Linked DNA regions of Rattus norvegicus. The protein of the gene in region 6 purifies or fractionates together with the protein of the main gene of each other region. This does not show direct contact. Links are inferred from orthologs where the notes say so. Each region holds a gene or a part of one and is shown on either strand. Other genes may lie near its edges.

Region 1 (4,224 bases), on a different chromosome or scaffold from region 6:
AGTCAAACTGGAGAGATTCAAATTCAGGTCTGGGTGTGGGCTGTGGTTTTTTTTTTTCAAATCCTGGACTCCAAAGGGAAAAAAGGTCTGGGAATACTGCACTTCACCTTCTGGAAAAGGAACCTCTTCCACCCACTTCCAAAGCCTCCTCTCCATGGTCATGGTCATGCTCCAGCCTCCCGAGTGTTGTGTGGGGGCCTGAGCCAGCCAGCCACCTCTGCTGGGACACACTGGCAGATGGACTGTGACTTAGCATGTGCATGCACACTCGCGCACGCACACACACACCTCACGCAGTGCACACACATGCATGCACACACACACGCGTGCGCACACATGCACACACACATGCATAGGCGTGCACACTCACGCACACACGCTCGCACACACACAAGCGCACACACACACACACACACACGCACGCGCACACGCTGGAGGCTTACCGACTTCTCACCAGCGGCAGAGCACAGCATGCTGCAGTCAGGGGAGATGGAGCAGCAGTAAACCCACTGCAGATGGCCGGACAGCACCTGGATCTGCTTACCTGCCAGAGAAGAACAGAAGGCCATGAGCCCTCAGAAATGAAAGACCCAGGAACACCTTCTAGGGCTCAGCGCCAGGCAAAGACCCACATTCTAGTGCAGGACAGGAACTGTGACAAACACTTGCAAATCAAAGGGACAAGCAAACACCTGCAATCTGTGGAGGCAGCGGCCAAGAAGCCAAGGGCGCTCACCCCCTGCAGCTTCCTCTAGTCTGCAGGTGAGGATGGCAGCAGAGACCGTCCTTTCAAGACCCCAGCACTGTACTCACTCACACCTATCCAGGCCTGACAGCCTCTCACGGCTCCCTAAGGGGCGCTGTTCAAGGGACACACAGAAGGACAGTCATGAGAGGTGTGCGCTCTGAGGTCAGACAACCTGGTTCCCAGTAGAGTCTGCCACTGCGCTATGCTCTGACGGCATGGTCAGGCACCGAGCATCATCTTCTCAGGCCTGGACCTTCCCAAACCCCAAGGCTGGCCGGGCCTACATGAGGATGAGAGAGGCAATGGGGCCCACGCCCAGCCTGTGGTTCAGAAGGAAGAGAAACTTCCCCACATGGTATTGCTTAAGGAAAACTGCAATATACAGGAGAAAAGATGAGGAATAAAATTCTATTTTTTGTGAAATGACCTCAAAACCCAATGTGCGTGTGCTCAGGAGTGTGTTCCGAGTACAAACACTGTGGTTCTTGACATGGGTTAGCAACTGCAAGGGACACGTGGAAGACGCAAGCGAGGGAAGGCGGTTGGGTAAGAGGAGGGCATGGAGAGCAGAGGCTGTGAGTGATCAGTCTGTCAAGCCAGCTGTGCTGCTTCTACGGCAGCCTGGCTGTGGTAACCGGATGTGTGGCTCGCGCTAAGTCAGGTTAGCAGGACAACCTGGGGCCTGGTAATGCACCTTGTCCTCTTGTGGCTCTCAGCAGCCACATGGCAGCTCACACACATCCTCAGCTCCAAACCCAAGGACTCTGACAGCCACCCTGGCCTCTGAGCACCAGGCACATGAATGGTGTGCATACACAGGCAAAACATTAAATACAGTACACTTTAAAAACAAGAGACCCCCCCAGTCCACTTTGTTCCACCCACAGTCGGACCCCCCCCACCTGGTCCACTCTCCCCCAGACAGCAAGGGATTTACTGAGTCTTCCCTCAACCTTCCCATCCGGTGTGCCCAGGCCTCAGCATTTGGGAGGAGGAAACCGTCCAATGAGGTCCAGGGCCAACCTAGACTAAGCCATCCGGTGAGGAAGCCCTACACACCCAGCATGGAATATGGCCAAGCTGGGGCTGGGCACAGTGGTGTAAGCCCTCAATCACAGCACTTGGAAGGCAGAGACAGGCAGATCTGTAAACTGAAGGCCAGCTTGGTCTATGCAGAAAGTTGCAGGAATACACACAGAGACCCTGTCTTAAAAGTGCAGCAGGCGTGGGGCTGGGGCAGCTTAGCTGTGGTGTGTCCAGGTCCTTGCTAGCAGGGCCAGATTCATCTGCTGGGTTTCAAGCTCCCGTATCAGATAGAAACCACAGGGTGGGGTGTCTTAGTGAGTGAGGAGTCTGGATGAGGACACTCTAAACACCTCTGTAACTGTTTATCTACAAGCTGCTATGGACTGTGGGGACCCCAAAATTCATAGGATTCAAACAATCTCCAAGAGATGGCATTTGGAATGGGGTCTTTGGGAAATCAAACTGGTCCTGAGAAGGAAGCCCTCAAGAATGGGAGTAGTGCTTTATGCAAGAGAGCAGACCTAGAGAGCCCTGTGTGTCTGCGATAGAGTCATCTATGGACACCCCACCCCCCCGCGTCATCAGCCATGTATGTGTGTCTGTGATAGAGCCATCTATGGACACCCTATCCCGTCATCAGCCATGTATATGTGTCTGCGATAGAGCCATCTATGGACACCCCGCCCCCCGTCATCAGCCATGTATGTGTGTCTGTGATAGAGCCATCTATGGACACCCCGCCACCCGCGTCATCATGTACATGGCTAAGACTTCCTTGGTCCTAAGACTTCCAGCCTCCAGCACAGAAGCAGCTGTGTGCTGATAAGGCCTCCAGGCTGGGGCATGTACCAGGGAAACCCGTACTAGAGCACTGACCAGGATTCTCAGTACTAAGAAGGTAGGAGAAATCCCTCCTAATGGATTGAGACTGGCACCGGCCCAGTCTCACTGTTGGAGAATTCACCTCTTCTAGGACTGACTCCCTTGCCATTTCTTCTCTCTACACGTGGGTTCTGGGGATGGTACTCGGGTCATCCGGCTTAGCAGCAGGTTCACTTACCACTGAGCTATCTTGCCTTGCCAGCCTGGATCTATGGTCAGTCACAAAAAAGCCATATGTGTGCCATCTGTGTTCATGGGTATGTGGGCTGGCTGCGTATCAGTGCATGTTGCTCACAGGAAAGCACAGTCTGAATACTCAGAAGTGCTACTGCCCTAGGTGTATGTGATCTAGAACAGGCTTCACGGCTGCCTTATGAGCTAGCCTGTGCACTCTACATGCTGAGCGGCACTCCACGCTCAGTCTCCTTACTAGCTAGCCTATGCACTCCAGATGCTGAGCGGCACCCCACGCTCAGTCTCCTGAGAAGCCACTTCTAAGCTCTCTAGACACTACAAGTGTTCCCTGGAGGATACTTAGTGCCTGCTCCTTCACCCGGAGCCCCTGGTCTGAGAGCAGTCCTGAGGGGGCTTCCTGAGATAAAAAGAGGTGCCTTTCAAGTAGGATCTCAGCCTAGAGTAACTGTCTCTCAGCGGGTTGTACAAGCTGTGTATTGCAGAGTCCCTCTCAGCTCTGGTGTGACTCCTGAATGGTGAGAGGGAAGAGGAGTTTATGGCCATCATTTTCCCACAGATGGACAGGAGGAGAGAAGTCACTCCTGGGAGCTGTCCTCTGGCCTCCACGTGCAGGCTGGGGCATGTGATAGCACCCCCCCCCACACACACACACACATACCCTGGGACAATGATAGTAAATTTAAATGTTAAAGACTGTACTGAATCTAGTCTTCTTGTCAGTGATGCCTACAGGACATACAGCCACTGTTCTCAGAGTATTTACAGCACACTAGGGACTGCGAGCCCTCCAGAGCCCACTTTTGGACGATGTGAGGTCTGTGCAAATGCAATGGCAGCTTACGTGAGAGGCATGAGCACTTGGGGGTTGGCGTCCTGAGAGGGTCTTAGAGTCTGCCCTTGCAGGGCAGCTGTGCAGTGAACTCCGATAGTAAAAACACCTTCAGCTCAGTACTTGAAGGCCACAGGGTGGCTATGAGGCTATCTCAGGAGGCTTTTGGGTGAGGCGGAGGAGGAAGGGAGCTCACGGGAAATGGCCTTGCTGAGATGAAGGCTGCAGTCAGCACAGGACTGAGTGGTTCAGCCCCTCCCCCTACCGTGCTTATTCAGGTCCCAAATGCGAAGAGTCTTATCCCGGGATGCAGAGACCAAAATCAAGCTGCCATTGGGCGTGAAGCTCAGATCTCTCACAACATCCTGGTGGCCAGAAAGATTCAGCAGCAGGAGCCCTGGAGGGAACAGGTCGGTGTACGGTGAAGGCAGGCTCACTGGCTGGTGCCCACTCATCAGCCACCTGGCAGTTGGTGGGGCCTGACTCACGTCAAGAGCCCACCGCCCTGGACCTAGCACTAGCCAGAAAGACCTACCTGTCTGCA
Region 2 (5,024 bases), on a different chromosome or scaffold from region 6:
AACACTCAGGAATCTTGTATGAGCTAGGGTGAGATAGAATTGTCTTAACTAAAGATGTTCAATGCCCACATCACAAACAAGGGCAGTCTTGTGTGCTACAGTAATAATGTTTCCTGGGCTCAAGGGTAAATACCCAGTTGGCTGACTTGGGACCAACATGGACCTTTCATTCCAAGGCCACATATCAGAACCAGAGGCAAATCTACTCATTGTATGCTTGTGCATAGAAGCTGCCCCTCCCCCTCAATCCTCTCCCACAACTGAGACTCCACAATGCCTTTACTCTGGAGCGTAATTCTGCTGTGGGTGCCCAGAAGGAAGTGCTCTGAAAGTGTCCTGTTACATCCAGAGAAGAGACTCTCACTGCTGCTGGACACAATCACTGCTGCGTCCTCAATGCCCTGATGTTTCTAGCTCCACAGAGACCCTAATAAGTATCTAAGGCACCAGACCTGGGGGCTCTTGCAGATGCTGGGCATGTGGTCACAGGATCCTACTCTGTCACTGTTTCAGGTGTCAGTGCTAATTAAAAAAAAAAAGTCGTTTTGATGACTCACATGTTTGTGAAGTCAGAGAGAGCGATGTTCACACCTGAGGAACAAGCTAGACGAGACGTTAAGACAGGTAAATAACCCGGCTGGGATCAAGAAGGAGATCTGGGGGGCTGGGGATTTAGCTCAGTGGTAGAGCGCTTACCTAGGAAGCGCAAGGCCCTGGGTTCGGTCCCCAGCTCCGAAAAAGAGAACCAAAAAAAAAAAAAAAAAAAAGAAGGAGATCTGGGGCCAATATGGAGCAGGCCCCTTCCCAGGTGGGGACTACCCTGATCAGAGAAGCCTGAACCTTGAAAAAAACCTAAAGTTGGAAATAAACATTCTCTTTCTGTTTTCCAGACAGGGTTTCTCTGGGTAGCCATGGCTATCATGGAACTTGTTCTGTAGATCAGGTTGGCCTCAAACTCAGAGATCCATCTGCCTCTGCTTCTCAGTACAGGGACTAAAGAAGTGTGCCACCACCGCTTGGCTGACATACGGAGAAATGTCTGGTTCTACTTAGAGAACCAGAAGTCCAGCTCTTTCAAACAGTAAACACACTGTGCTCCCTCTCCAGAACCAGCTGCTTTATCACTTCTTTTTTTTTTCTTTTCTTTTTTTTTTTCGGAGCTGGGGACCGAACCCAGGGCCTTTCGCTTGCTAGGCAAGCGCTCTACCACTGAGCTAAATCCCCAACCCTTGCTTTATCACTTCTAATCTCTTCTCCTCTGAGAAGGCCCAAGCATTCTCAGATCAACCAACTTCACTCCGTGGAGTGCTCCATGGGTCAGTGGCCCAATGCTCTGACCCAAAGACCTGATGTTTGTGCTATATGCATGTCAACCCGACACAAAAAACATGCTGACACAGCTGTTTCCCTCTGTGCTTCATACTGCAGGACCCACACAAGGACCTGCAAGTGTGCCCTGGGCTTTACAGTTTGTGCAGTGTAAAAGCACTTGGTGAGTGGTGCCCTGTGCTAAGCAGCCCTCAGTACGTCTCACACCTTTGTACTCTTTATGCGCTACTGGCCGAACTTCAGGTAGCATGTCATAGGAAATCTGGCAAGATTCAGTTGACAGAGGAGATGAGGAAAGATCCAGCTGGAGGCTGTGTGTATATGCAGTTGAAGCTGATGGGGGGTTAAGATTAGGGCCGGGGGCCACAGGCTGTCTTTCCAAAGCACCAAGTTAACACTAAGCACTTCTGAAGCCCAGCCTGTTCCATGCTCCTCTGTTGGAAAGGTAACCCCAAAGCCTATCTAAGCCGGGCTGTCACCTTGGGGCACCCAGTCAAATACCAGTCAAGGCTGCCTGGCTGTGCAGAGGTCCTTTCACATGCCCCACAAAGTAAAACCATGGCTCTTCCTTTCCTGCACTCAAAGATGCCTGCTATAGATTGAAGCTGAGAGCAGGAGTGTGGGGAAGAGGTACAGAGAAGATCCAGCACTTCTGTTCAGAAGAAATAATCCTCCACTCAAGTCCTGGTGGTCATCACCCTTGACAAGTCCTAACTGCAAAGAGTGGTAGATGTCTTGCCTACACTCAGCTGTTATTTACCAGACTTCCAGTGCTCAGAGCAGTAAGACAGGGCTAACAAAACCCCAGAGAACAAAGTAAAGAGGCAGAGAAAAGGAACCCAGGGAGAGACCAGGGAGGTACAATTAGTCCAGTGATATAAGAATGACAGGCCCACTGCACATTAATTCCTCCGGAGTCAGCAGCCCCTGTAGCCTGTGATCCAATCCCACCCACTGTTAGCTACGATTTTACCTTAAATACCTAAATTAAGAGGCAAGCTCAGACAAGTGCCAGTGATGCAATCTACCTTGTGTATTTTTTTTTTTGCCATGCACCCGGAAGTTAACAAGAATCACATCGCAGCAGATGTATTTTCTCCCTGCACAGGGTGCGGTGTCCCTGAGCAAACCCCTCCGGAGGCAGTGCGGTGAGCACCCGGCCGCTCATGCGGTATCTGCCGCGCGGCCCATTCCGGGCTCTAAAGGACTCCAAAGACCTGCTGCTGAAACCTCCTACTAGCCACCGGGGCCCGCATCTGCTTGCCGACGGCTCCCCAAGGCAGGGCCAGAGGATACCGCAGCGACACGCGCAGAGGCCGCCCGCGCCCGCGACAGGCCGCTCCCGCCCCGCGCGCCCATCGCCAACCCCGGCCTACCGTTGCTGTAGGCGTACGGGGATTCGGCTGCTCCGTCCTGAAGACTCTCCAGAATCTCGCCTTTGCCCACGTCGCTGTCGCCCACCAGCAGGAACTTGAGCAGGTAATCGTAGCTCTTCACTGGACTGCCCTGGGTGCCCATCCTCCCGCCCGCCGCACCGCGGCCCACGGCACCGCCGCCAGACCTGCGGGCGAAGGCTGGTGAGCGGCCGTGCGGTCCAAACGCTGATGCTCCCGCCCACTGGCCACCGCCCCCAGTGCACCCACCCCGCTGCCTCCAGCTTCACCTCAGCCTCCTAGCCGCCGCTGCTACCGCCGCCGCCGCCGCCGCCCGCCGCTTCCCGCACGGCACCGCGCAGCCCCGCAGCCCCGCCCCCGGATGCGCGGCCGCCATTGGCCACCCTCCGCCGGCCCTCTCCGGGCCATTGGCTTGGCACCCTGGCCGTCACGATCGCCCCGCCCCCACGTCGCCCCACACACGGTGCCGCCCAGCCCACGGTCGCCCCGCCCTGCCCACTCACCACTGCTACTGGCCCGTTGCCACCCTCTTTATCATTTCTGTTGGTCTATATGCTTGTCTGTCACTGAAGTCCCGTCCCCGCCATTTCGTACACAGTGTTGCGGAGGCTGGCGAATTTCCCCGCCTCCTCGCTGTGACCATTGGCCACTTCCCCGCTGATTTTCCAAAATCATTGGTCGCTCTTGCATGTCCGTCTGAACCCCTACCGCTTCCTGCAGGCTGCCTCAGAGCCATAGTAGCCCGGCACCGACAAGCAACATCCTGGACTCCCGCCCCCTTGTCATCACCATTGGCTACCACTGCTAAGGCATTTGTGCCATCTCACATCGATCATAACCTTCTAAGCCCACCCCTTTCCTAATTCGCGCCAATCAAGAGTCAAATATTACACAAGTCTACCCCTCCCCCTTGTGGACAAGCGGAAGGATAGAGATAACTCCTGCTTGAGGCGACATGAATGAGTCGCTGAGGGGGGGCAGTATATCTTTCAAGCTGCACTGGCTTCTCTCGAAGGGAAGTAACGTAGTTTGGACGTACACTCTCCGGCTCGCGTTCCCTGGAGGCAGGGCGGGGACAGCCAATTACTGCTCGTCCCGGTGGGGGCAAGGCTCTGTCCGTTGTAGGCTGTTCAAGGGGTGGGACTTCCTCCTGGCCGTGGAGTAGGAGGGGCCGCTCCTGAGAGTTTAGGCACAAGCATGAATGCTGAAGGTCTTCTCCTTTGAGCTGACTCTTATGAGGACATTCTTCCCACTGGGGATCCTGGAAGCTTAGACCAGCGAGAGCAGCGTTATCCAGGTGGACTCCGGGATGGGCAACACGTTGCATGTGTACACTTGGTCGGCCAGCTCTGAAGCTGGAGGGCCACGGACAGCGTTCTTCAGAAAAGTGCTTTCACAAGTCACGTGAATAGCAAGAAATTAAAAAAGTAAACATAGATTGGGACCAACACTCTTGCGCTGTAAGCCTGACAGAGTGAGTTTGAGCTCCCTCCGGTGCCTGGCCATCTGTAATCCTCATCCCACCTACCTCCTGCTCCTATAGTAAGGAAGGAAGTAAAGATAGGAAAATTTGTCCAACAGTTCGAAAGTTACCTGGCCTGGTGTAAGCCCATTTTAACAGGGTAGAAGGCTGAACTGACTTCTGAAAGTTATCCTCCTCTGACCGCCACATACCGTAGGTGCACGTGCTGCAGTCAGTCACACACACATACTGTACCTTGGAACAGTTTTTACACAAACTTCCTGAACATTGCCAGATAATAGATAAAATGTGGGGGAGGAGGGGGTGCTGTAGAGATGGCTCAGAGGTTAAGAGCCCTAGCTAGGGGCTGGGATTTAGCTCAGTGGTAGAGCGCTTGCCTAGCAAGTGCAAGGCCCTGGGTTCGGTCCCCAGCTCCGAAAAAAAAAAAAAAAAAAAAAGATCCCTAGCTGCCCACCACCCACATGGCAGCTCACAAGTGTCTGTAACTAGTTTCAGGAGATCGGACACCCTCACACAGATAAATATGCAAGCAAAACACCAATGCACATTTAAAATTATAAAAAAAAACAGATAAAATGAGACACTGGATGAAGAATTGGTTCAGCAGTTCAGAGCACAGAGCACTTGTTGCTCTAGTAGAGGATTTGGGTTCAGTTCCCAGCACCAACTTGTTGACTCACAGCCATGACTCCAGTTCCAGGCAGGAGATCTGAGGTCTACTTCTAACCTCTCCAGCACCAGGCACGCTCTTGGCGCACTTACATACATGCAGGCAAAACACTGAGACACATAAATCATTAAAAATCAGATGGCAGACA
Region 3 (4,224 bases), on a different chromosome or scaffold from region 6:
GCATGTAAGAGCCCATAGAGGCCAGAAGGTGGTGCTGGACCCCGGGAACTGGAGTTTCAGGTGGTTGTGAGCTGCCTGAGAGCCAAACCTAAGTCCTCTGTAAAAGCAGTAAGTCCGCTTCGCCGCTGAGCCATCTCTCCAGTTCCCTTCTATTTTTAAAACACAGCACCAACATTTCTTTCCCTCAGCAGCTGCAACACAGTACGCACACTGAAGATGCATGCATTCTACACTCTCAGCCCGCTTGTTCTCTGGTAAACTCCAGTACTAACTACATTCTACACGCTCAGCCCGCTCATTCTCTGGTAAACTCCAGTACTAACCCCAAGGCGTGTTTACCTGGTATATTTACAGCAAAGCAATGTCAAACACAAAGACGCTGCAAGCTAATTCCTAGGCCACCCTAAGGAGGGGAACAAATGCTCCGTTTCTAGTTACCTCGGCTTCCACCTGCTGCTGAGTCCGGTGGTGGTTCTCTTTGTACTGGTTGGCTCTCAGAACTTGCTGCTCAATGCCCAGGAGAACTGCCTCACAGCCGTCACACCTGCAACAGAAAACCCAGCCCTGAGCTACAGTGAGGTGGAAGCAGGCTCCTACAGGCTCAGGAATCTCCCTCCCAGATCCTTCCAGCACTTTATGGGACTTCCTCTGCCAGGTGGTCATGTCAGTCCCCTCCCTCCTTCCAAACCAAGTCATCTAAATATGTAACACAGGCCAAGGGCACAGCAGCTGCAGATTGTGGGCAATTTCTTGGAATACAGCTCTAATTTCCAGTCCTTGCAGTCCATAAGAAACACTTTTACAGACTAAGACCGAAGGAGGGACTAACTACAAGTAACACTGACTTGATCCCTTTCTACAAAAGAAAAAGTAAATGTTCTATTTTACAGATTGCCTTTTCCTCGGAATTTGAAGTTATTTCCTAGTTAACAAGCACTTCTCACTGGGCTTAGTGACACATGCCTTTAATCCCGGTACTCAGGAAGCAGAGACAGATCTCTTGAGTTCACAGCTAGCCTGTGACACCAGCCAGGTCTACAAAATGAGATCCTGTCTCAAAAAATAAGTTTTTGAAAAGCAATATAATGAAAATTTACACACTGTCCATTACTATTCAATATGTCCAATATTTTGCTGTGTTTTTATTTTCCAGTCCCCTTCTAACATATAAGTAGGAGCTCTGAGACTCTCTTCTGGTGGCTGAAGAGATGGCTCAGTGGTTAGAATGTTTGTTGCTCTTATACAGGACCCAAGTTCAGCTTCCGACACCCACACACTAGCTCACGATCACCCATAACTCCAGTTCCAGGGACTCTGATGCCCTCCTCTGACCCCTGTGGGCACTAGATAAACACACAGTGCACTTCTATACATGTAAGCAAAATGCCTATTTTATATATGTATGTATTATATTTTTTATGTATACAAAATCTGGGTGTAGTGGTACTTGGAAGGCAGTTGGACAAATCTTGACTTTGAGGCAAACCTAGAATGCATAGTTATAGTTAGTTCTAGGCAAGCCTGGGCTAGAGAACAAGGCCTGTTTCGAGAAAAAACAACAACAAAGGCAAGTGTCCCTAACTCTCAGCACAAAGCTGCCCAGTCTGCTGAATGCCATGCAGCACGCCATAGGCCCATGTGGGAACAATCTCCCCACTCTCAATAATGCTCTCCCTCAAAGCTTCCTCACACTTCCCTAAGCTCTGGTTTCATAGCCCCAAATCACTTACATAGCTCATTAAATCCTTACAGAACACATAACCACTTTTGCAAGCATCAAATCCCACTAAAATAATATACTAAAGTCTCTGTTCTTTTTACTAAATTCATTTATTCATTGGACGGGAGGATAAGGAGATATGTTTAGAAGCTGCGATTTGGTGCCACACAGCCAGAATGCAGAGACTCGACCTATAACTCCACATGAACATTTTACAGCCCAGCTGCATTTAAAGTCAACTTCACAAGGCAGGCACCAGGAACCCTTCCAGGTTTCCTAATGCCACACAGCTGTAACCACCAATGCAGCCCCACTCTGTCTCAGTGTCCAAAGACCCCAGCTTGGACTACCTCAAGCTCACTTCTCAAGATCACAGTGCTGCAGAGAGGCCCTCCCTCCATCTCCCAGTCTCACCATTCATGCAAGGTCTTGACAATATTATTGATATCTTTCTTCTGGATGTCACGGCCAATGCAGAAATCCACTTCCAGGAGCTGGTTTCGCTGGTCCAGCTTGCCCTGGATGATGTCAGTGTAGACAGCCTCAATGATAAGGTCTTCTAGTTCCCGGAGATTCCTCATCTCCAGGTCCTTCAGCAGCACAGAGTAGGGGATACACTGTGGATAGGTCATATGACAGTTCTAAAACCACTTGGCAAGCATTGAAAAAAGAAATCCAAGTATTACCCACACAGGCAAGAACTGTCTCTCTGTGCTTAAGCAATGCAGACTAGTGGTAATCACCAATATCTGAGATAAAAAGAGACGGGTAGGGGTTGGGGATTTAGCTCAGTGGTAGAGCGCTTGCCTAGGAAGCGCAAGGCCCTGGGTTCGGTCCCCAGCTCCGAAAAAAAAAAAAAAGAGAGACGGGTAAACTGTGGAACCTATGACACCCAACAAGATCCCACAGCACCAAAGGAGGTAACTTTCTAGTCTCATGTCCTAGACTTCACCCAGCTCTCAGCTGCCACACCCACACTCTTACAGATAGATGTTAAACATTCTTCCACAGGAAAGAGAAATACTCAGTATGTGCTACACTGCCACCTTCTGGACTTCACATAAAATGCTGAACTGTGAAATGTTCAAGCCTCAAACACTAACACTGAATAGTTTACCCAGAAGAGGCATGGCAAAACAAAACAGAATGAAAGAAAGAACGAACACACACACACACACACACACACACACACACACACACACACACACACACACCACCACCACCACCACCACCACCACCAACAACAACGACCAATCACAGGTTATCCTGAAGTTTGTGCTTGTTTCTCAAACCTTTGTGACCAATATCAAATCTCCAACAACAGCCCTGAACCAATGACTAACAAGAACAGAGCATTATTAAACCTACATTCTACAAACCCCGAGCTGTCAGTTCTAGTTTAGAAATAAACTGACTATGTAAACAGAAGCACAGGAAAGAAAGTGAGCACAGAGGGGAGCAGAGGGGAGCAGAGGAAAATAGCAATTTCAAGGGTGGTGGGTGAGTATTAAATGATAACAAAACAAAAGAACAAAACAATCTTCCTACTCTTTACCAAGATTGAGAAGACCATGATTAGAAAGAGAAAAAGGGGGACTGGGGATTTAGCTCAGTGGTAGAGCGCTTGCCTAACAAGTACAAGGCCCTGGGTTCGGTCCCCAGCTCCGGAAAAAAAAAAAAAAAGAAAGAGAAAAAGGTCCTGGTCTTCCCATTCCCCAAGAAAATAGGGTTGATTCAGACCACGGGTGCAGCACAGTGGTGGCACCCCACACAAATACACGTGAGGCACTGAGTTCCAATCCCCAACTTTAATCTCCAGAACAAGCTAGAGGGAGGAAAGGAGGAAAAGAGGGAGAAAGGAACTTCCCACCTGAAATTCTTTTTTTTTTTTTTTTGGTTCTTTTTTTCGGAGCTGGGGACCGAACCCAGGACCTTGAGCTTCCTAGGCAAGCGCTCTACCACTGAGCTAAATCCCCAACCCCCCCCCACCTGAAATTCTTGGTGACAACCAGAAATTTATGATTAGATCAGGTAACAGTACATTAGCAACTAAAAATCAAGGAACAAACATACAACTCTTAATCACAGAGAGATGCAAACTTTTTAAAGGTATAGTCTCATAAAAACAGACACAGGTAAGGAAGAAGTGAAGCCAAACCAACTACAAATCAGTGGAGTCTGGCCCCTCTCTGTTAAAAGCTGTAAACTACTGCCTGAAGGCTTCTAAATCAGCTGGGCTCAGAACCTGCAGGTGTGTTGCGGGAATCTTACACATTAGGGCCTAATGTTAGCATATGAAATTAAATAAAAACAAAGTGAGCAGATGAGGCAAAAAAAAAAATACAATTAACCCTGAAAAATCACAAAGATTAGAAAGCTACCTTCCTGGGCTAGAGGTTGTGGCTCAGAGATAAAGGGTATTTTCCCAACATGCACAAGCCTGGAGTTCAATCCCCCATATCACAAATAAGTAAAAGTCCACCCGACCCAACACAGCGCGTCTT
Region 4 (2,935 bases), on a different chromosome or scaffold from region 6:
AAAATGGCTGGGACAGACAAAGCAGCACAATTCTTGACACTAGAACTAGGAAAATGGATCTCAGCAGAGGCAGATAATTGCCCTTTCTCAAGATGTTTTCAACCCCTGGGTATTTCTGCTCCCTCGGTGTCTACAGGATTGGTTGAGTCCTATATTTCATCCCATTTCTAGGCAGGAACAATTGAGGAAAAGATCTTTCAGCGGCAAAGCCACAAGAAGGCTCTGAGCAGCTGTGTGGTAGATGAGGAGCAGGATGTGGAACGTCACTTCTCTCTTGGTGAGCTCAAAGAGCTGTTTACCCTGGATGAAGCCAGCCTCAGTGACACTCACGACAGGTATGTGGAGTGCCTTGTCATTACCTCTTTGCTACCTGAGCAGCACAGAAATCTGTAGTGACCCAACTCTGTCCTCTGACCCCAGACTGCATTGCCGCCGTTGTGTAAATAACCGCCAGGTCTGGCCACCCCCTGATGGTTCTGACTGCACTTCAGACCTGGCTCAGTGGAACCATAACACAGATAAACGAGGGCTCCAGGATGAGGTACTCCAGGCTGCCTGGGATGCTTCATCTACAGCCATCACCTTCGTCTTCCACCAGCGTTCCCATGAGGAGCAGCGGGGTCTTCACTGCTAACCAGCTGGTCTGGATGAGTAGCTTGGGAAAGGATACAGGGAAAAGGGGGTCCTCTGTCTCACGAGTCTCTGCTCAGTTTTGTTCTCTGGGAGAAAATCACCAAGAAGGGCTGCATGATGTTTGCCCAAAATTTATTTTATAAGAAAAACTTTTTTGGTTTAAAAAAAAAAAAAAGAAAGGAATAAAGGCATGAAAGGGATTGAGGCCCGGGACCAGACTGGGAAGCCCAGGAGGGAGAGGCCTGATGGTAGGCATTCCTATACTGCTCTAAGCCTGGGTACCTGCTTGAGGAGTGAAGCAGGAAACCCCAGAGCAGGGGTAGGGGCTTTCCTCAGTGAAGACAGAGACCCATAACCTGGCCTGGGGTTCCCAGAGTACCGAGTAAGTGGCCCAAAGCCTCTGAACTCAGCTGTGGGAATGCCTTTGCTGGGCCTCATTGAGGCCTCCAGGACCTCAGTGCCAGGGAAGATGAAAACAAAACAGAAATAGACAAAGTGGCAGGAGGAGGATGACAGAATCAGTGGTTAGGGGTTCTGGGCAGCCCATGGCTCAGTCCCTGCAAGCTGACGGTACTGAGGATGGGCCTGTGAGGTATGGGCCCCATCACATGGTGCTGACATAATCTGCAAAGGCCTGGGTTGAGTCCCATGAGTCGCTAACCACGTGGCAGGTAGCCCGGAGTCGCCGGATTGCTTCTCTCGCTGTTACTGCATCCTGGTCCAGCCAGTTCTGGAAGAGGCGTAGATGACCAAAGGCTCCACGGCCCCAGCGCTCCAGTCGTTTGGCAAACTCCAAAAGCCCATCTGGCTTGATGCAGTTGGAGCTGGTGGGGATGAGATGAATTAGATATCCAGGAAGCAACCAGGCTTTCGTCTCTATTATATCCCTTTCTCCCCCATCCCTTGTCTCCCAGTCCCTAGCATACCTGATGTCCAGCTGACAGAGAGAAGAGGAAGAATCCTCTGAGAAAACATCTGCTAGGGCTAATAGGCCAGCATTCCCTGGAGAGAGAGAGGAATACTCATACCTCTGCCCAGGAACAGGGAAACAAGGTTTTCCTATCCCAGCTCCAACTTGGGAGAACCTTAGTCCTAGCAGTTCTGAACACCTAGGACTCAAATACCTATATTGCAACCTTAGCCTTCTCAACGGACCGGTCAGTACCTTTACCCCAAAAGTTTCTAGGTCAAAGGCCTAGTTCCTTTCTTCCTTCCTCCCTTCTTCCCTCCTCTCCAGGGTATGGTCCCTACCTAGGCGGTTCCCTGGTAGTCGAAGGCCCTTCAGTGTAGAGTTGCCCTTCATAGCAGCAACCATCTCAGGAAGAAATTGGGCTGGGCGCTTCTCAAACAGACGACAGAAGGAGAAGGTAATCTCTGACAAGAGAAAGTAGAATATTCGGATAACTGAAGCAGGGGTGGTGCTGTCCCTCCTGTCCTAGGTTGGCTAGTAATGTGATTATTTATATACACTTGAAAAGGATAATCTGTAATGATCCGAGCAATGTTGAAACTCAATTTAAATAGGATATTAAGCCTAACTGTTTGAGGAACATCTCTGCATGGATAAATTTTTATCCACTTCCCCCTCTTTATAGTAACTGATGCCTTTGCAGGGTAGAGATTGTTACGCGTATCTGAAGGGAACATCCACACACAGTAGCACAATTATTTCTCCCCATGATCTTATTTTTTAATTGAACTCACTCAGGTGCTACCACCCTTGATAAAAACAATAAAACTGGGTGATGTACTAACTTTTGGGATATTAGAAGGAAGGTCATGCAGGTTCTTTATCCTTTATAGTCAAGGAAGATATAAGACTAGGAAAACATGATTTGCAGACTGAGATAATGACAAAGCTATGTTGAAGACAGAGGAACGCTCAGGTTCTGGGTTAGGATCTTACCTTGAAGGGTCAGATTCTTTAACAAAAAGAGCACCTCACTCTGACAGTCTGCAAGATTCATATCATGGAAACTCAGCCTCTTCAGGGACAGGTTGTATTCTGGATAGGAGACATAGCCATGGGTGGTGGGGCTTAGTTTTCCCAGGGAACAATGCTAGGTCCTTACGTACCCTCCCTCACCATTCCTACCTTTGAGTGTTTGCAAAACAAGCCCAAAATCTTGAGGAGAGGCGAAGGTGGCACTGTCGAGTGACAGCTGCTGTAGAGAACCTGAGGCCTTCAGAACAGAGCAGAGCAGTGGGGCTGGCTGGGCTCCTCGTGGAAATCCCATTTCCAACTGCTCTAGGCAGTTTTCTGTACGTGCGAGAAAGAGGACATTCCATTTAGCTTTCTCTA
Region 5 (5,015 bases), on a different chromosome or scaffold from region 6:
GTCTGTCAGGGGCTCATTTCTGCTACTAACCCTTTGCTGTGCTACGCATCCGATTCCTATTCTCAGTCAGGGCTGAAAACTTTCAGTGTTCAGAGTAGCACAGGTGCGTGTGCACACACATACACACCAGACACTGTAAATTATGTGCCCCCCCGCCCCCCAGAGGGTTTGTGGCCATGGCTTCAGAATGTCCTCATAGCGAGGTCTTACGTCATCCACAGCACCTTCCCTCCTGTCACTGCCACTTATCCTGGCATGTCACTCTGCTGGTTCTCACCTAACAATGTTTTTTTTTTTTTTTTTTTTTTTTTTTTTTTGGTTCTTTTTTTCGGAGCTGGGGACCGAACCCAGGGCCTTGCGCTTCCTAGGTAAGCGCTCTACCACTGAGCTAAATCCCCAGCCCCAACAATGTTTTAACAAGGCTATAGACCCAGCATCTGCTAGCCTCCAAGGACCCAGAGCTGTGGCCTTCGAAGTAAGTTACTGATAAATTGCTGACTTGTATTGTTTTATCCATTTATCCGATCTCTTTCACTGGAACACAAGCTGGAAATGCTCCTTCTACCTCATCTTAAGGACATACTTTAGTTCACTGTAGAGAAAATCAGGGACAAAAGCCAGTTTCTTGTGAAACAGCAGTCCCAAAAAACATTCTATCCTCTGATTCCACCACGGGTCTTCTAATGCCTGGCTCAGTCTAGCCACACACTACTGTCACTCTCATGACAGGCTGGTGTCCCAGGATTGGCCATCCATCTGCTCTATACTTTTAACGTTCTTTTTTTCTTTTTTTTTTTCTTTTTTTTTTTTTTTCCGGAGCTGGGGACCGAACCCAGGGCCTTGCGCTTCCTAGGCAAGCGCTCTACCACTGAGCTAAATTCCCAACCCCACTTTTAACGTTCTTGACTCAGCCATTTCCCTGAATGTTCTCGTCACTGTGTTCATAGCAGTTTGCCACTGTCTTAGGGAAGACAGCATCTTCACCATCTACCTGGGGGTGGGGTAGGGGTGGGGGTGGGATTTACCATGGCATAACTCAAATGCCCATTCTCTCTGATTTTAGGAGACTCCAGACTTTCCCACAGTTACTACTGTAACTGTGAAGGGAAGTGCTTTTTTTCTTATTATCATTTACTTTATGTATATGTATACACTGTAGCTGTCTTCAGACACACCAGAAGAGGGCATCAGACCCCATTACAGATGGTTGTGAGCCACCTTGTGGTTGATGGAAATTGAACTCAGGACCTCTGGAAGAGCAGTCAGTGCTCTTAACCGCTGAGCCATCTCTCCAGCCCAGGTAGTGTTTTTTTCGGTTTTTCCCTCATTGGAGTTGTGAGAACTGTACCTATACTGAGCCATGCATACGACAAACAAGGGCTCTTTCACTGAGTACATCCCTACTCCTTTTTTGAGATGGGGTCTAAGTTGCAGAGGCTGGTCTAAAATTTGTGGTGCCCTACCTTAGCATCCCAAGTTCTGAAATGGAAGCCAAGGCCTCACAAATGCTAGGCAACCACTCTATCAGCTGTTTCAAGGTTCTCATCACCATTTTTTAAGGGAAAACTGAGACTTAATTAGGTTTTTCTGATCCAGGTGACAAGATTTGTTGTTTTGTTTTTAAGACACGGTTTCTCTGTGTAACAGGGGCTGTCCTGGAACTCAAGTCTGTAGACCAAGCTGGCCTCTAACTCAGAGATCCACCTGTTTCTACCTCCCAAATGATGGTGACAGGATTATTAAGAGGTATCAATAGGCACAAATCTTCAATCCCAGCACTCCGGAGGTGGATCTCTGAGTTGAACACACAGAGAGTTCCAGAACACAAGTTATAGTACACAGAGAAACCCTGTCTCGAAAAACAACAACATCAATAACAACAGTAAAGATATCATACTGGTGGACGAGCTGGCATTTATGAGTGGTATTGTGTATGACATGTTCTTTTGTTTAAAAATTTAAAATCTGTGTTTCCTTCAGCAGCACATATACTAAAACTAGAACGATCCAGAGAAGATTAGCATGGTCCCTGGGCAAAGATGACCTCAAATTTATAAAGCGTTCCACATTTTTAAATAAAAAAAAAATTTTTTTTTTAACTTCTGCATGAGGCATAGTCAAGAAGATTCTCAAGCATTCAAGGCCAGCCCAGATGACGATTACCAGTTTAGTGCAGCCAGGACTACGCAGTGAAACCCTGACTGAAATTGTGGGTACAGAGGAAGGGAGCAGTAAGTTTACAGACCCCTTTTCTGTAAGAGATACAGGAAATGAAGACCTTTTTTTGACTGCTTACTTTTCCAAGCTGACATCTAATTATCAATACCCTGTTCACCTGAGTGGCTATTGGTTACAAAATGAGCCCACCATTCTCAAGGAAACTTTGGTCCCGAGGTTCTTTTTGAATTACCCAGGCAAGCAACACACCTCTCTAACATTAGGCATATCCAGCAGTTCCCCAAACACGTAGACACCAGGGGCCTCCAGCACCTGGTGGATGAGTGTGGCCAGTGCTGCCCCCTTAGCCGACTTGGCAAGGAGCAGAAATTGCTCCTGGTTCTGCCCTGTCACCTTCACCTCCGCACTCATGGCTGCACCCTGGTGCGGGGCTCTGGCCTCAAGTTTTCTGGAGCTGCAAGGAAAGAGGAACGTAAAACTAAAGGTCCCTGAACCACGTGAGGGTGGTCAGCTCAAGGGTGGGGAACTGCACTCAAGAGGTACCACGTCACTTCTGCAGTGTGCAATTAGGTCAAGAAGTCTAAAAGCCAACTCTAGGGTTCCTTAAAGTCGGCCACATCCTGGCTGCCACGCCCACCCTCTCCTCCATCGGGGCAGTCCCAAGCCCCACCACGTGCATCCCATTGAGTTCCAGGACAGATGAGGAAGGGAGGGAAGAGGTGGCACATGGTGTCTACCCCAACGACGACGAACTCCCAGCTCTAAACTCGTGTCTTGCACGTGTCCTCAACCACGTGACCTCACCTTTTCGATCCTCACTCGTGGCTCCACCCCCTCCCTTAAAGAGGCAGCCCCGGGTCCGCGAATCTGTGCCCAAGGCCGGGTCGTACCCTGGGACAGACTGCGACCGACCGCTACCTGGAAGCCTCGTCTTCCAGCGCGCGGGGCGGGGCGGCCGCTCCGTCACCTCCGGCAGCGGCTCCCAGCCTTTCCTGCCACCTCCCCGCAGGGTCGCTCTAGCCACGCGCTTCTATGGCCAGTTTCCGGCCGCACTTCCGCTCTCGAGAGGCGGGTTCCGGCCGGCTATGGCCTGCTTCCGTTTCCCGACCGAAGGAGGTGAGAGAGCGACACCTAGCTTCCGCTCTGTCGATAAAGCTTTATTGGTGCGGGAGCGGTGGATGCCGGGTGTAGAGAAAATCCTGGCTCCGTGGAGGTCCTGGGTAGATGAACCGCCCGGTAGCTGCAGGAGAGGGGAGGAGGGCAGCGCCAAGTTCCTCCGGCCGCATGAGCGTTAGTGGAAGACGAGAAGATGCAGAAACTAAAAATAGGAGACAAACATGGCTAGAGTTTCAACGGTAGATAATTTAGGTAGTTCAACCACTCATGTTTTTCAAAGAGCAGAATAAAAAGTAGACAAACGTGGCTAGAATTCAACGGTAGATAATTTAGGTAGTTCAACCACTCATGTTTTTTAAAGAGCAGAATAAAAGTTTAAAATGCAAGGGGGCAGGGAGTGGTGACCCACACCGCTTCCCTGTGTTTTGGAAATAGAGGTAGGATCGGGAGTTCAAAACCAGCCCCAGGGGGTTGGGGATTTAGCTCAGTGGTAGAGCGCTTGCCTAGGAAGCGCAAGGGCCTGGGTTCAGTTCCCAGCTCCGGAAAAAAAAGAATCAAAAAAAAAAAAAAAAAAAAAAACGAAGCAAAAAATACATAGCAAATACCAAGCCAGTCTGGGCTACTTGAGAACCGGTCTGGAAAAAACAAAACAAACCCCCAAATGATTAAGGGGAAAGGGAAGTGTATTGGTCAGGCTTTTGAGGTTTTCTTCCGTTGGAATTTCAGACCACGTGACCAGACTTTTGGCCGATTAAAACCAGAAGGATTACTACACCTAATCGTTCTGGTTTTAATACTTGAATCTCAACAGGAGAAAAGTGTAAGTAGAACCTAGGCAGGTGAGGAAATTTAAAAGTTAAAGGATTCAGCTGGTTATTTGTAATCCCAACAGCCAGGAGACTGAGGCAGGAGGATTGCTATTAGTTGGGAGGGTAGCCTGTGCTACAGTGTGAGAGACCCTGTCTTAGAATACTTTAAATTGCATGGTGGTACACACCTTTAATTGGGTGGATTTCTGAGTTAAATCATCCAGCATCTTATGCATAGGGAATTATGGTATAGCCAGAACTACTTAGTGAGACCATGTCTCAAAATGAAACAAAACAAAAATACTTACAGAAACCATTTAAGGGGCAAATTAAGGTAAAGCCAGACTTACTGTTTCATAATCTGTAATCCCATTACTCAGTAGACTAAGGCAGGGGAATTGAAAGTTCAAGACCTGAGTTCTGGAAGTAACCCATGAGACAAGGGAACATAGGGTCCAAGTGCAGGCTTATCTGATTCCATTGCTTCCCTGCAGGAAAAACGAGGCATGGTAGTACATGCTTGTAGTCTAGCACTCGGGAGGCTAAGTCAGGAGGATCTTAGGCCCAGAGGCCATCTGGGCTTCGTAGTGAGTTCCAGGTTGAGAGTGGTGGAGAGAGAGAGGTTAGAAGAGGCTAAGAACACTGGCTGCTCTTCCAGAGGTTCTGAGTTCAATTCCTAACTACCACATGGTGGCTCACGAACATCTATAATGAGATCTGATGCCCTCTTCTGGCCTGCACGTGTACATGCATGAAGAACACTACATAATAAATAAAACTTAAGAAAAGAAAAAGAGTGGGCTGGAGAGATGGCTCGGGTTAAAAGCACAGGCAGCTCTTCCAGAGGTCCTGAGTTCAAACCCCAGCAACCACACGGTGACTCACAAGCATCTGTAATGGGACTTGATGCCC
Region 6 (3,664 bases):
CAGTTCGTAGATATTTGACAGCAAGCTGACAGCTTGCGCTGTCAGAAGGAGAGAGGCTCCTTAGCGAGGTCGTTCTCCTCGTCTCCACTACCCGGAAATGAATACAACATACAGGGAAACAGAGCTGGCGAGATCGTGCGGTAGGTGGTGTAATTGACAACCTGAGTTCAGTCCCAGCAGTTCACTTGATGTAAGGAAGAAACCGACTCAAGTCCACAGTTGTCTTCCAACCTTCGCATGTAGAAGAGAGCGAGAGGCGCTCTCCTATGGGCACATGTGCATGTGTACACAACAAACAAGTTCTTAAAACTTCTAATGAATTGCAAACTGATGGTTATTTTAATTAAAGAAAAAAAGTCTTTTAACAGGGCTGCTTTTTTGGTTGTACTTTTACAGTTTTTATTTAGTATTATTTGAAATTTTGGTGAATGCCATACAGTTTGAAGCACGAAGAAAGATTAAAAGTTTTCATGGTCCTACAATCTTCACATTCCTAGATGGACAGACTTACTGTTTTTGTTTTCCTTTATATTTTTGACATAAAGCCCTATTTATAATCTGATCAAAAGCCTGGTATCATTGGACAAGATGACTGACTCATCAGGTAACAGAAACCTGGTGATCTTAGTTTAATCCCAGAAGGCCATTTACAGATGTATAGAGTGAATTCCACGACAGCCAGGGCCACACAGAGAAACAAACCCTGCCTCAAGAATACCAACCAGCCAACCACCAGATGGAGAGAGAGCTGCTGTTAGAAAGCCTTCTGACTTCCACACTCCTGCTCTGGCGTGTGCTTGTAAACATGTAACATGTAATGATGTGCAATGATAACAGTTAAAAGCGTCTTGTAAAAACAATGTATGAAAGCTTGTAACTGGATGCATCGCAGATCATGTAGTATCAATGACAGACTGTCATGCCTGTACAGGAGAGCTGAAAAGTGGAAGGGATTTTACCCTGCTGAACCTGCGGGTTCCCGAGTGTGTTTGCATTGTTGCTGTCAGGTGTTAATACGTTGTCCACAGGAAAAAGTCCAAGGGTTTCCTGCACGTCCCAGAATCTCAGTGCTCACAGTTCTTGTATAGAATGTGTAGTGCCTGAATACGCCCCTACATATTTTATACCATATATTTAAGTAATCTCTAGGTCATCATAGCACCTAATACAGTATAAGTGCTGTGTGACTAGTCCCCATGCTCTGTGGTTTAAGTTTGTGTGCTTAATACAGACGCAGCTCTCATAAGCCTAATTACATTTTTGTGGTTGGTTGTTTTGTTGGTTTGGTTTCGTTTTTGAGACAGGGTTTCTCTGTGTAGCCCAGGTTGTCCTGGAACTCACTCTGTGGACTCAGATCTGACTGGGATTAAAGGCCACCATAATCAGCTCATGATTCTGCTGCTCAGTCAGTCTGTAGTGTGGAGCACACAGATACAGAGAACCAACTGCATCTCTTCTATTTCCTTTATACAAAATTGTAGTATCCACTGAGCCACCTTGTTGCCTAAGGGAAGCTAAACTTTAATAATGATTACAGGAAGTCTAGTTTTCAGGTAATGTCATTGCCAACTTCTATGTAGTTTAAAAATCACTAAGACCATATTGATAAAATTGACTTAGGTGGAATATGTTGATTTCTTTAGAAACATTTAAATGTCAGAAACATGAATTAAATCAATAGAAGTAAAGACAGGATCTGTGGTAAATATTGCTATCACTGTATTATTAGTCTAGTTAATATAGAGAGTAGTGTTTACAGATTTTTTTTTTTTTTTTTTTTGGTTCTTTTTTTCGAAGCTGGGGACCGAACCCAGGTGTTTACAGATTTTTAAGACTAGACATTCATGGTTCTCCTGTTATACAAAGAGACACCCTAATATTAGAGGCAAATTTGTGTAGGTGGAGTCCTGTGTCTTATTGCATTTATTTGTATGTGTGTGTGATCATATGTGTATGTATAAGTTAGAACACAACTTTTCAAGATTTGATACTATTTTTCCACTTTGTTGGTCCTAGGGGTTGAACTCAGGTCATCGTGCATTAAGATGGTGCAACAAGCACCTTTATCCACTGAGCTATGTTAACAGCACCCACAGATTTGCTCATGACTATTCCGCCTTTTCAGGCACCAGACATGTATGTGGTACAAAGTCATACAGGGAGTCAAGCATTCAAATGCATATTAATTTTTATAAAACAGTAGAGATTATAGGTTAATTTTGGCTTCCTTTACTTTCAAAATCTTTGTAATAAGTGCAAGGGGAAAAAAATTGTAGCTGCTGATTAAGTCTCCAGGTGAATAGCTAGGGGCCGTACAGTGTGGCTGGTGTTAGGAGATAACATAGGAAATGTTACTGATTTGCTTTGCTCAAACTAGTTGAATGTATTCATGTACTTTCCTTTTCCCTTTTCCTCTTAGGAAGCCATCATACAAATAATGAAAATGAGGAAGAAAATTAGCAATGCTCAGCTGCAGACTGAATTAGTAGAAATTTTGAAAAACATGTTCTTACCACAGAAGAAAATGATAAAAGAGCAAATCGAATGGCTGATCGAGCACAAGTACATCAGGAGGGATGAGGCCGACATCAACACCTTCATATACATGGCGTAGCTGAATCCAGCCTGCCGCAGCTACACATCTGGAGACCTGGGCAGAAGGTTGTCCCAGGCTGAGCTGGAGGAAGGTTTATTTGGACTTTGATTACATAAATATTAAACTCTGCCTTACCTTACAAAGCGACTATATTTTGCCAGTCACATTAGTCAGCATGATGGCAATCCCTTCATGTTGCACACTCTTTAACAGCATGCTGTTTTGTGGAGAAAATTGCATTCATGAAGAGCCCATTATGAACTTTCAAAGTCAATTCAATTTTTACCCACCCAGAGAAATAACATTTTGGAAGGGTGAGGGTGGGGTTCCTTTTGCTTCTTTTATCCCCCTTTCCTCTTTAAAGGAATATACTTACACAAGGAAGGATTTTCAGATACTCATGCACTGAGAAATGCTGGGGTTTTTTGTTGGTTTGTTATTTTTGGGTTTTTTTTTTTTTTTAATGCAATTAAAGCTAGAGGCAGCACTCAGCTTCTTTTGATGCAGAGTGAATTGTCAACACTGTTGGGCAAGGGCAGGCACACTTGAGAAGACAGTGTGCCAGTGTTGAGCTGTTTGTCAAACACTGCTTTCACTTTAGTGACTGGATCTTAATGGTAACGGAAACTGGTATTAAATATTTCTACCTTACAAATGCTGATTTTCACTGAGCAGGAGAGTGCTGTTTAGTCATTTGTTGTTAAACATGAAGATGTGGGATTTTCTTTTTAGACTTTGTATGGCTGGAGAGCTTGTTTTGAAAACATGAAGTTTATAGTCAATGTTGTTTCAGTTAAAAATTTATGGGTTTAGGTACATCACTGATTACAGAAATCAGAATCCCGAAGTAAACATGTTAAGTGTGTTACTAATACACTTAATACTTATACACCTAATATTTACTATACTGTACCTAAATTTGTTGAAAACAATGCAGAAATATTCTGATACAGTACAGTGAGAGAATTGCTTTCTTAACCTGTAGCATAGAATTATTTGGTGATTGAAAGTGTTGTGATTAGGAATTTACCACCTCAGTTTTCTGGAAAGACATTCTCTATTTAAAAG
Region 7 (4,270 bases), on a different chromosome or scaffold from region 6:
CTGAGGGGGTGGCTCAGTGCACTCGGATCATTTATGGAGGTGAGTGGCTTTGGCTCCCCCCAAGGCGGAAACGAGCTAAGACAGACTGAAGCTGCCTTGCACAGAGAGGTGGGGCTTAAGTGTTCTAACTGTAGCCCTGACCATCCTCTTGCTCCTGTTACAGGTTCTGTGACTGGAGCGACTTGCAAAGAGCTGGCAAGCCAGCCTGATGTGGATGGCTTCCTCGTGGGCGGTGCATCTCTCAAGCCTGAATTCGTGGACATTATCAATGCCAAACAATGAGCACTGCTCATCCCCCTACCTTCCTGCGTAGCCTGGACCAGGTTGCCCAGAAGTTTAGTAACTGCTCCTGCCAGTCACATGCTTCTGATAACATCATCAACTCCATCTTGTGACCTAATCCATACTGTACCTTCCTGAGCCTCTTACCTCCCCATAATAGTTGGGACCAGGCCAATCCCTTTACCACTTACAATGGGTAAAATCAAATATGTCACCAAGATGGCTTCCTGAGGAGGGGAAGGAGTAGAACTAGCTGTCCCTTTGGGCCCTAATGGGTGAAAACGGCCTTCCATTGGTTTGGGATGGAAACTCACAGCTGGACCACAGGAAGTAGGCTTCTTGTCACTTTGGCCTGTCACTTAGATGGCCTTGGCTCTAGCTTCACTCCCAAGCCCTACTGGATGTGTGATGCAGAGATTCAGAGTCTTCGGGTCTGAATTTCAGTGTACATTAAGGCCAAGATCCTTTTACTCTTAGAGGCCTGGGATATCCCCTCCCTGTAGTGCCGAAGCCCTTGTATTGTGTTTGTGAACCATCCTACATATAAGGGAAATAAACACCTGGGCCTAAACATGGTTTGTCATAATTTTAAGACAGTGAGGGGGCTCTAGCCTCGAGGGGGGGGGGCAAGTGGAATGTAAAAAGAACCAATAATGAAACACGTTCTGTGACAATATATCTCATTTTTTTTTTACTTCAAAAACCTTTTGTCCAAAGCTGCCACAGCCTATAGTATCATTTCTATGTCTTGTTCCTGTGAAAAGGGGTAGTGAAGGGGTCCAGCCTCCTTCCCTCAGCTCCAGCTTTTAAGTTGTCTAGGCCAGCAGTGCCTCTCCACCTGTCCCCACGGTAGGGTGCCAGCACACCCTGTGCCACAGGGTCATTTGTAGAGTAGATAGCGTTTCATGGCAGGGGGCAATGGCAGACTGGATATTTGACCCAGCCGGGTGTCCCCCAGAGCATGGCGCACACACAGGCGGCTCAGGTGCAGAAGGGATTGTGGTTCCTCCGCTGAGACAGAGAAGGAAGACAGGGTAAGCAAGCAACTCCCGCCAGACATCCTCAAACTCTCTCTCCACCTCCACCCTAGCTAAGGGAGACCCAAAAGCTCTGAATTTCTGGAAGTGAAGCTAGAGCCAAGGCCACCTAAGTGACTTGAAGCCCATTTCCTGTGGTCCGACCACGAGTTTCCACCCCAACCCATTGTCAAAAGTGGTATCCTCCCTGCCCCCCACACACACCTAGTCCAGATCTCACCTCTTCTTTCGCCCAGGTAGCGGATGCGGACCTGGCACTGTCCCCAAACAGCACTTACAGAGGGATAAAGGGTCCTCCCCTTCAGTCCACGGAAGGCTGGTCCCAGGTACGTGCCCCCAATAGAGTAGCCCAGAGTTCCCTCCTCCATGTCCAGAACCACCAACAGTCTCTCTGGCACCACTAGCTGCTCACCCTGAGGTCCGGCTGGGTACTGGGGGGCCTCAAGGCCCTTACTCTGATGATACAATTTTCCCCTCCCAATATCCCAGCCCCAGGACTCGCTGTTGCTGCCCAAAAGCGCCGCGTAGTGGTCAGCCTGCAGCGGGGCGAGGGCGGTGGCCACGCCCACCACGGCGTGTGTTCCCCTTTGCTCCAGGGGCCAGCTGATCTCCCAGGCATGCAGGCCTCTCGAATAGCCCCTCTTTCCCCGGACTCCATCAGTGCTCTGGGCCACAGGGCGCCGCTCAAAGCACAGTCCCCCTTCCTTGACATCGATGTTCTCGGAGCAATCCTTGGGGTTCCAGCCGTGGTGTCGTTGGGCCCCTAGGTCAGGAGGGGGTGCGGACAGGAGCTCCTCCAAGCCCTCGGGAGGAGATAAGTCAGAGTACAGAGCGTGCGAGCTAGGGGTGCTGCTGCTGCCCCTTGCCAGGGCCGTCTGGCCCATGAGGTGAGCAGCTGAAGAACTTCTCAAAACAGGCTTGTTGGGGCGTCTGTCTTTTGAAAGTTGAGCTCCGGATCGTCCCCTGGAGTGGCGTGGAGAAAGAAAGGACTGTTAGGCGTAGCATCTTTCCCTGAGGCTCCCATCCGTTCACCGGTGTATGCGAACCAGCCTCATCTTCCCTTGGTCCCCCAACCCGCCCAGGCCCATCACTTTCACCCCATCTGCGTCGCGCCTTTCCCCCCAAGTTTTTCACGACTTTTCTCCCTCAGACCTTACCGTGGACCGTCCCCTTGAGGTCTCTAAGGCCCGGCCCCTATCCCGCACCTCACTGGGCTCCCCCTACCCCTCAGAGACCTCAGTGGAAGCACAGATAGGGAAGGGTGGAAGCGCCCCTGACCAGCAACCGCTTCCGGCTCCAGCGGGGCCGTAGGACGCCCGCCTGCGCTCCGCCCCTGGGCTCTGGAGACGATTAACCCTATCGTCACCTCCCGGACCACGCCCGCCACATCATTTCCCGTCCTGGGAACCCACCGTCTGCAAAGAATTCAGGCAAGGAGTGTGTGATGACTTCAAATGTGGACAAGCGCTCATGTTTTGTGGGGCACACTCTGGGTGGGTAATCTCTTGTCCCTCCCAGGACTCCCAGCAGTTTATTTTTCCGAAGCCACCTGACAGCTGCGTGCCCCGCCCTCCCCCCATCCCAGCCTAGAATTAACCCTTTGATGACGTCATCGCCTTGGATTCTGCGTGTGTGGAGACTTCTCCACTGGAGACCTTTGCGCTGCCTGAGCAAGTCGATCCTGAGATTAGGAAAAGGCCTTCACACCCTTCCTGACCTACTGCTCCCGTTTAGGAGAACGTAGGGATTGAGATTGTTCCCTGCCTGTCTCCCTATGTGGCTGAAGCGGTAACCATTCATCCTCCTGCTTCAGCCTCCTGAGTAATGGGACTACTAGTGGGCACGTTGTCTAGAGGATGTGTGCTTTGAGGGTTAGTTCTGAGTGAAGTTAGACTACTATCTGCGTTATCATGGAGAGATTGTCATTGAAGTTTGACCTCCTTGGATGTCTATTGATAACAGTTTAAAAATCACATAATGCTACCAGTAAGTTAAATGTGTGTGTGTGTGTGTGTGTGTGTGTGTGTGTGTGTGTGTGTGTGTGAGAGAGAGAGAGAGAGAGAGAGAGAGAGAGAGAGAGAGAGAGAGAGGTGGGGAGAGCAGAGAGGGCCTAGAACTCCCTCTGTAGACTAGGTTGAACTCACACTGATCAGCCTGCCTCTGCCTCCTGAGTGTTGGCATTAAAGGTGTGTACCCTGTGCCCAGCCTAATTTTAACGTTGTTGCTGTAGTTATTGTTGTTTGGATGGGTTTCAAATGGTTTCTTGTAGCCCATCTAGGACAGAAGTGGCTCTGTAGGCAAGAGCTGGCCTTGAATTCCTGTTCCTCTTAGCTCTACTTTCAAATGCTAGGATTATAAAGGTATGAGTCACACCCAGCTAATTTTAACGTTTTAAAACTCTGATGCGAGCCTGCTGCAATGGCTCGGCAGTAAGAGCACAGGCTGCTCTTGTGGAGGCCCCAGTTCAGGTTCTCACAGCCACATTGAAGCTCACAGACGTCCGTGAGTTCCAGTCCCAGGGGTGTTAACGATTTCTTCGGAACTCCACACGAATGTGATGGCACGGATACACTGTGCTGCCTAGTCTTGCGTCAACTTGACCCACAAACTAGAGTTCTTAGAGCTGCCTGAAAGGAAGGAACCTTAATTGAGAAAATGCCACCATAAGATCTGGCTGTAAGGCATTTTCTTGGTGGGGGGTGGGGGATAGCACATTGTGGGTGGTGCCATCTCTGGGCAGGTGGTCCTGAGTTCTATAAGAAAGCAGGCTGACCCAGGGTTCGGTCCCCAGCTCCGAAAAAAAGAAAAGAAAAAAGAAAGAAAGAAAGAAAGAAAGAAAGAAAGAAAGAAAGAAAGCAAGCAAGCAGGCTGAGCGAGCCATGGTTGTAACTATCAGCCTTAGTTCAGTAAGCCAGCTTTTCTTCCTGATTTTTTTCCCCCCTTTTGGTTGG

Evidence for each region.
Region 1: the proteins of Cul5 (region 6) and Wsb2 purify together in Homo sapiens (affinity purification with mass spectrometry; 3 studies listed by BioGRID and IntAct, counting the BioPlex papers as one, with this or other methods). This does not show direct contact. The link is inferred for Rattus norvegicus from reciprocal best matches to the Homo sapiens genes CUL5 and WSB2.
Region 2: the proteins of Cul5 (region 6) and Rab40c purify together in Homo sapiens (affinity purification with mass spectrometry; 5 studies listed by BioGRID and IntAct, counting the BioPlex papers as one, with this or other methods). This does not show direct contact. The link is inferred for Rattus norvegicus from reciprocal best matches to the Homo sapiens genes CUL5 and RAB40C.
Region 3: the proteins of Cul5 (region 6) and Cops7b purify together in Homo sapiens (affinity purification with mass spectrometry; 3 studies listed by BioGRID and IntAct, with this or other methods). This does not show direct contact. The link is inferred for Rattus norvegicus from reciprocal best matches to the Homo sapiens genes CUL5 and COPS7B.
Region 4: the proteins of Cul5 (region 6) and Lrrc41 purify together in Homo sapiens (affinity purification with mass spectrometry; 3 studies listed by BioGRID and IntAct, counting the BioPlex papers as one, with this or other methods). This does not show direct contact. The link is inferred for Rattus norvegicus from reciprocal best matches to the Homo sapiens genes CUL5 and LRRC41.
Region 5: the proteins of Cul5 (region 6) and Cops7a purify together in Homo sapiens (affinity purification with mass spectrometry; 3 studies listed by BioGRID and IntAct, with this or other methods). This does not show direct contact. The link is inferred for Rattus norvegicus from reciprocal best matches to the Homo sapiens genes CUL5 and COPS7A.
Region 7: the proteins of Cul5 (region 6) and Spsb2 purify together in Homo sapiens (affinity purification with mass spectrometry; 4 studies listed by BioGRID and IntAct, counting the BioPlex papers as one, with this or other methods). This does not show direct contact. The link is inferred for Rattus norvegicus from reciprocal best matches to the Homo sapiens genes CUL5 and SPSB2.

The regions. Positions count from the first base shown.
Region 1 is NC_086030.1:44,882,067-44,886,290, forward strand, and holds part of Wsb2 (WD repeat and SOCS box-containing protein 2), read right to left. Parts: coding exon 4,216-4,224; intron 4,078-4,215; coding exon 3,946-4,077; intron 545-3,945; coding exon 444-544; intron 1-443. UniProt on the Homo sapiens protein: May be a substrate-recognition component of a SCF-like ECS (Elongin-Cullin-SOCS-box protein) E3 ubiquitin ligase complex which mediates the ubiquitination and subsequent proteasomal degradation of target proteins.
Region 2 is NC_086028.1:15,437,609-15,442,632, forward strand, and holds the start of Rab40c (ras-related protein Rab-40C), read right to left. Parts: upstream 3,052-5,024; 5' UTR 2,993-3,051; exon of another isoform or gene 2,891-2,992; 5' UTR 2,848-2,890; coding exon 2,706-2,847; exon of another isoform or gene 2,482-2,705; coding exon of another isoform or gene 2,438-2,481; intron 545-2,437; exon of another isoform or gene 1-544. UniProt on the Homo sapiens protein: RAB40C small GTPase acts as substrate-recognition component of the ECS(RAB40C) E3 ubiquitin ligase complex which mediates the ubiquitination and subsequent proteasomal degradation of target proteins.
Region 3 is NC_086027.1:94,703,167-94,707,390, reverse strand, and holds part of Cops7b (COP9 signalosome complex subunit 7b), read right to left. Parts: intron 2,338-4,224; coding exon 2,135-2,337; intron 545-2,134; coding exon 439-544; intron 1-438. UniProt on the Homo sapiens protein: Component of the COP9 signalosome complex (CSN), a complex involved in various cellular and developmental processes.
Region 4 is NC_086023.1:134,809,991-134,812,925, reverse strand, and holds the end of Lrrc41 (leucine-rich repeat-containing protein 41), read right to left. Parts: intron 2,894-2,935; coding exon 2,729-2,893; intron 2,639-2,728; coding exon 2,540-2,638; intron 2,008-2,539; coding exon 1,885-2,007; intron 1,636-1,884; coding exon 1,560-1,635; intron 1,458-1,559; coding exon 1,238-1,457; 3' UTR 749-1,237; downstream 1-748. Other genes in the region: Rad54l (DNA repair and recombination protein RAD54-like), read left to right, coding at 172-335, 421-634. UniProt on the Homo sapiens protein: Probable substrate recognition component of an ECS (Elongin BC-CUL2/5-SOCS-box protein) E3 ubiquitin ligase complex which mediates the ubiquitination and subsequent proteasomal degradation of target proteins.
Region 5 is NC_086022.1:159,457,070-159,462,084, forward strand, and holds the start of Cops7a (COP9 signalosome complex subunit 7a), read right to left. Parts: upstream 3,105-5,015; 5' UTR 2,983-3,104; intron 2,962-2,982; exon of another isoform or gene 2,863-2,961; coding exon of another isoform or gene 2,849-2,862; intron 2,633-2,848; coding exon of another isoform or gene 2,590-2,632; coding exon 2,428-2,589; intron 2,074-2,427; exon of another isoform or gene 1,968-2,073; intron 1-1,967.
Region 6 is NC_086026.1:62,911,361-62,915,024, reverse strand, and holds the end of Cul5 (cullin-5), read left to right. Parts: intron 1-2,419; coding exon 2,420-2,614; 3' UTR 2,615-2,832; downstream 2,833-3,664. UniProt on the Homo sapiens protein: Core component of multiple cullin-5-RING E3 ubiquitin-protein ligase complexes (ECS complexes, also named CRL5 complexes), which mediate the ubiquitination and subsequent proteasomal degradation of target proteins.
Region 7 is NC_086022.1:159,298,244-159,302,513, reverse strand, and holds Spsb2 (SPRY domain-containing SOCS box protein 2), read right to left. Parts: upstream 2,641-4,270; 5' UTR 2,477-2,640; intron 2,283-2,476; 5' UTR 2,204-2,282; coding exon 1,540-2,203; coding exon of another isoform or gene 1,373-1,539; exon of another isoform or gene 1,294-1,372; coding exon 1,163-1,293; 3' UTR 946-1,162; downstream 1-945. Other genes in the region: Tpi1 (triosephosphate isomerase), read left to right, coding at 1-39, 164-282. UniProt on the Homo sapiens protein: Substrate recognition component of a SCF-like ECS (Elongin BC-CUL2/5-SOCS-box protein) E3 ubiquitin-protein ligase complex which mediates the ubiquitination and subsequent proteasomal degradation of target proteins.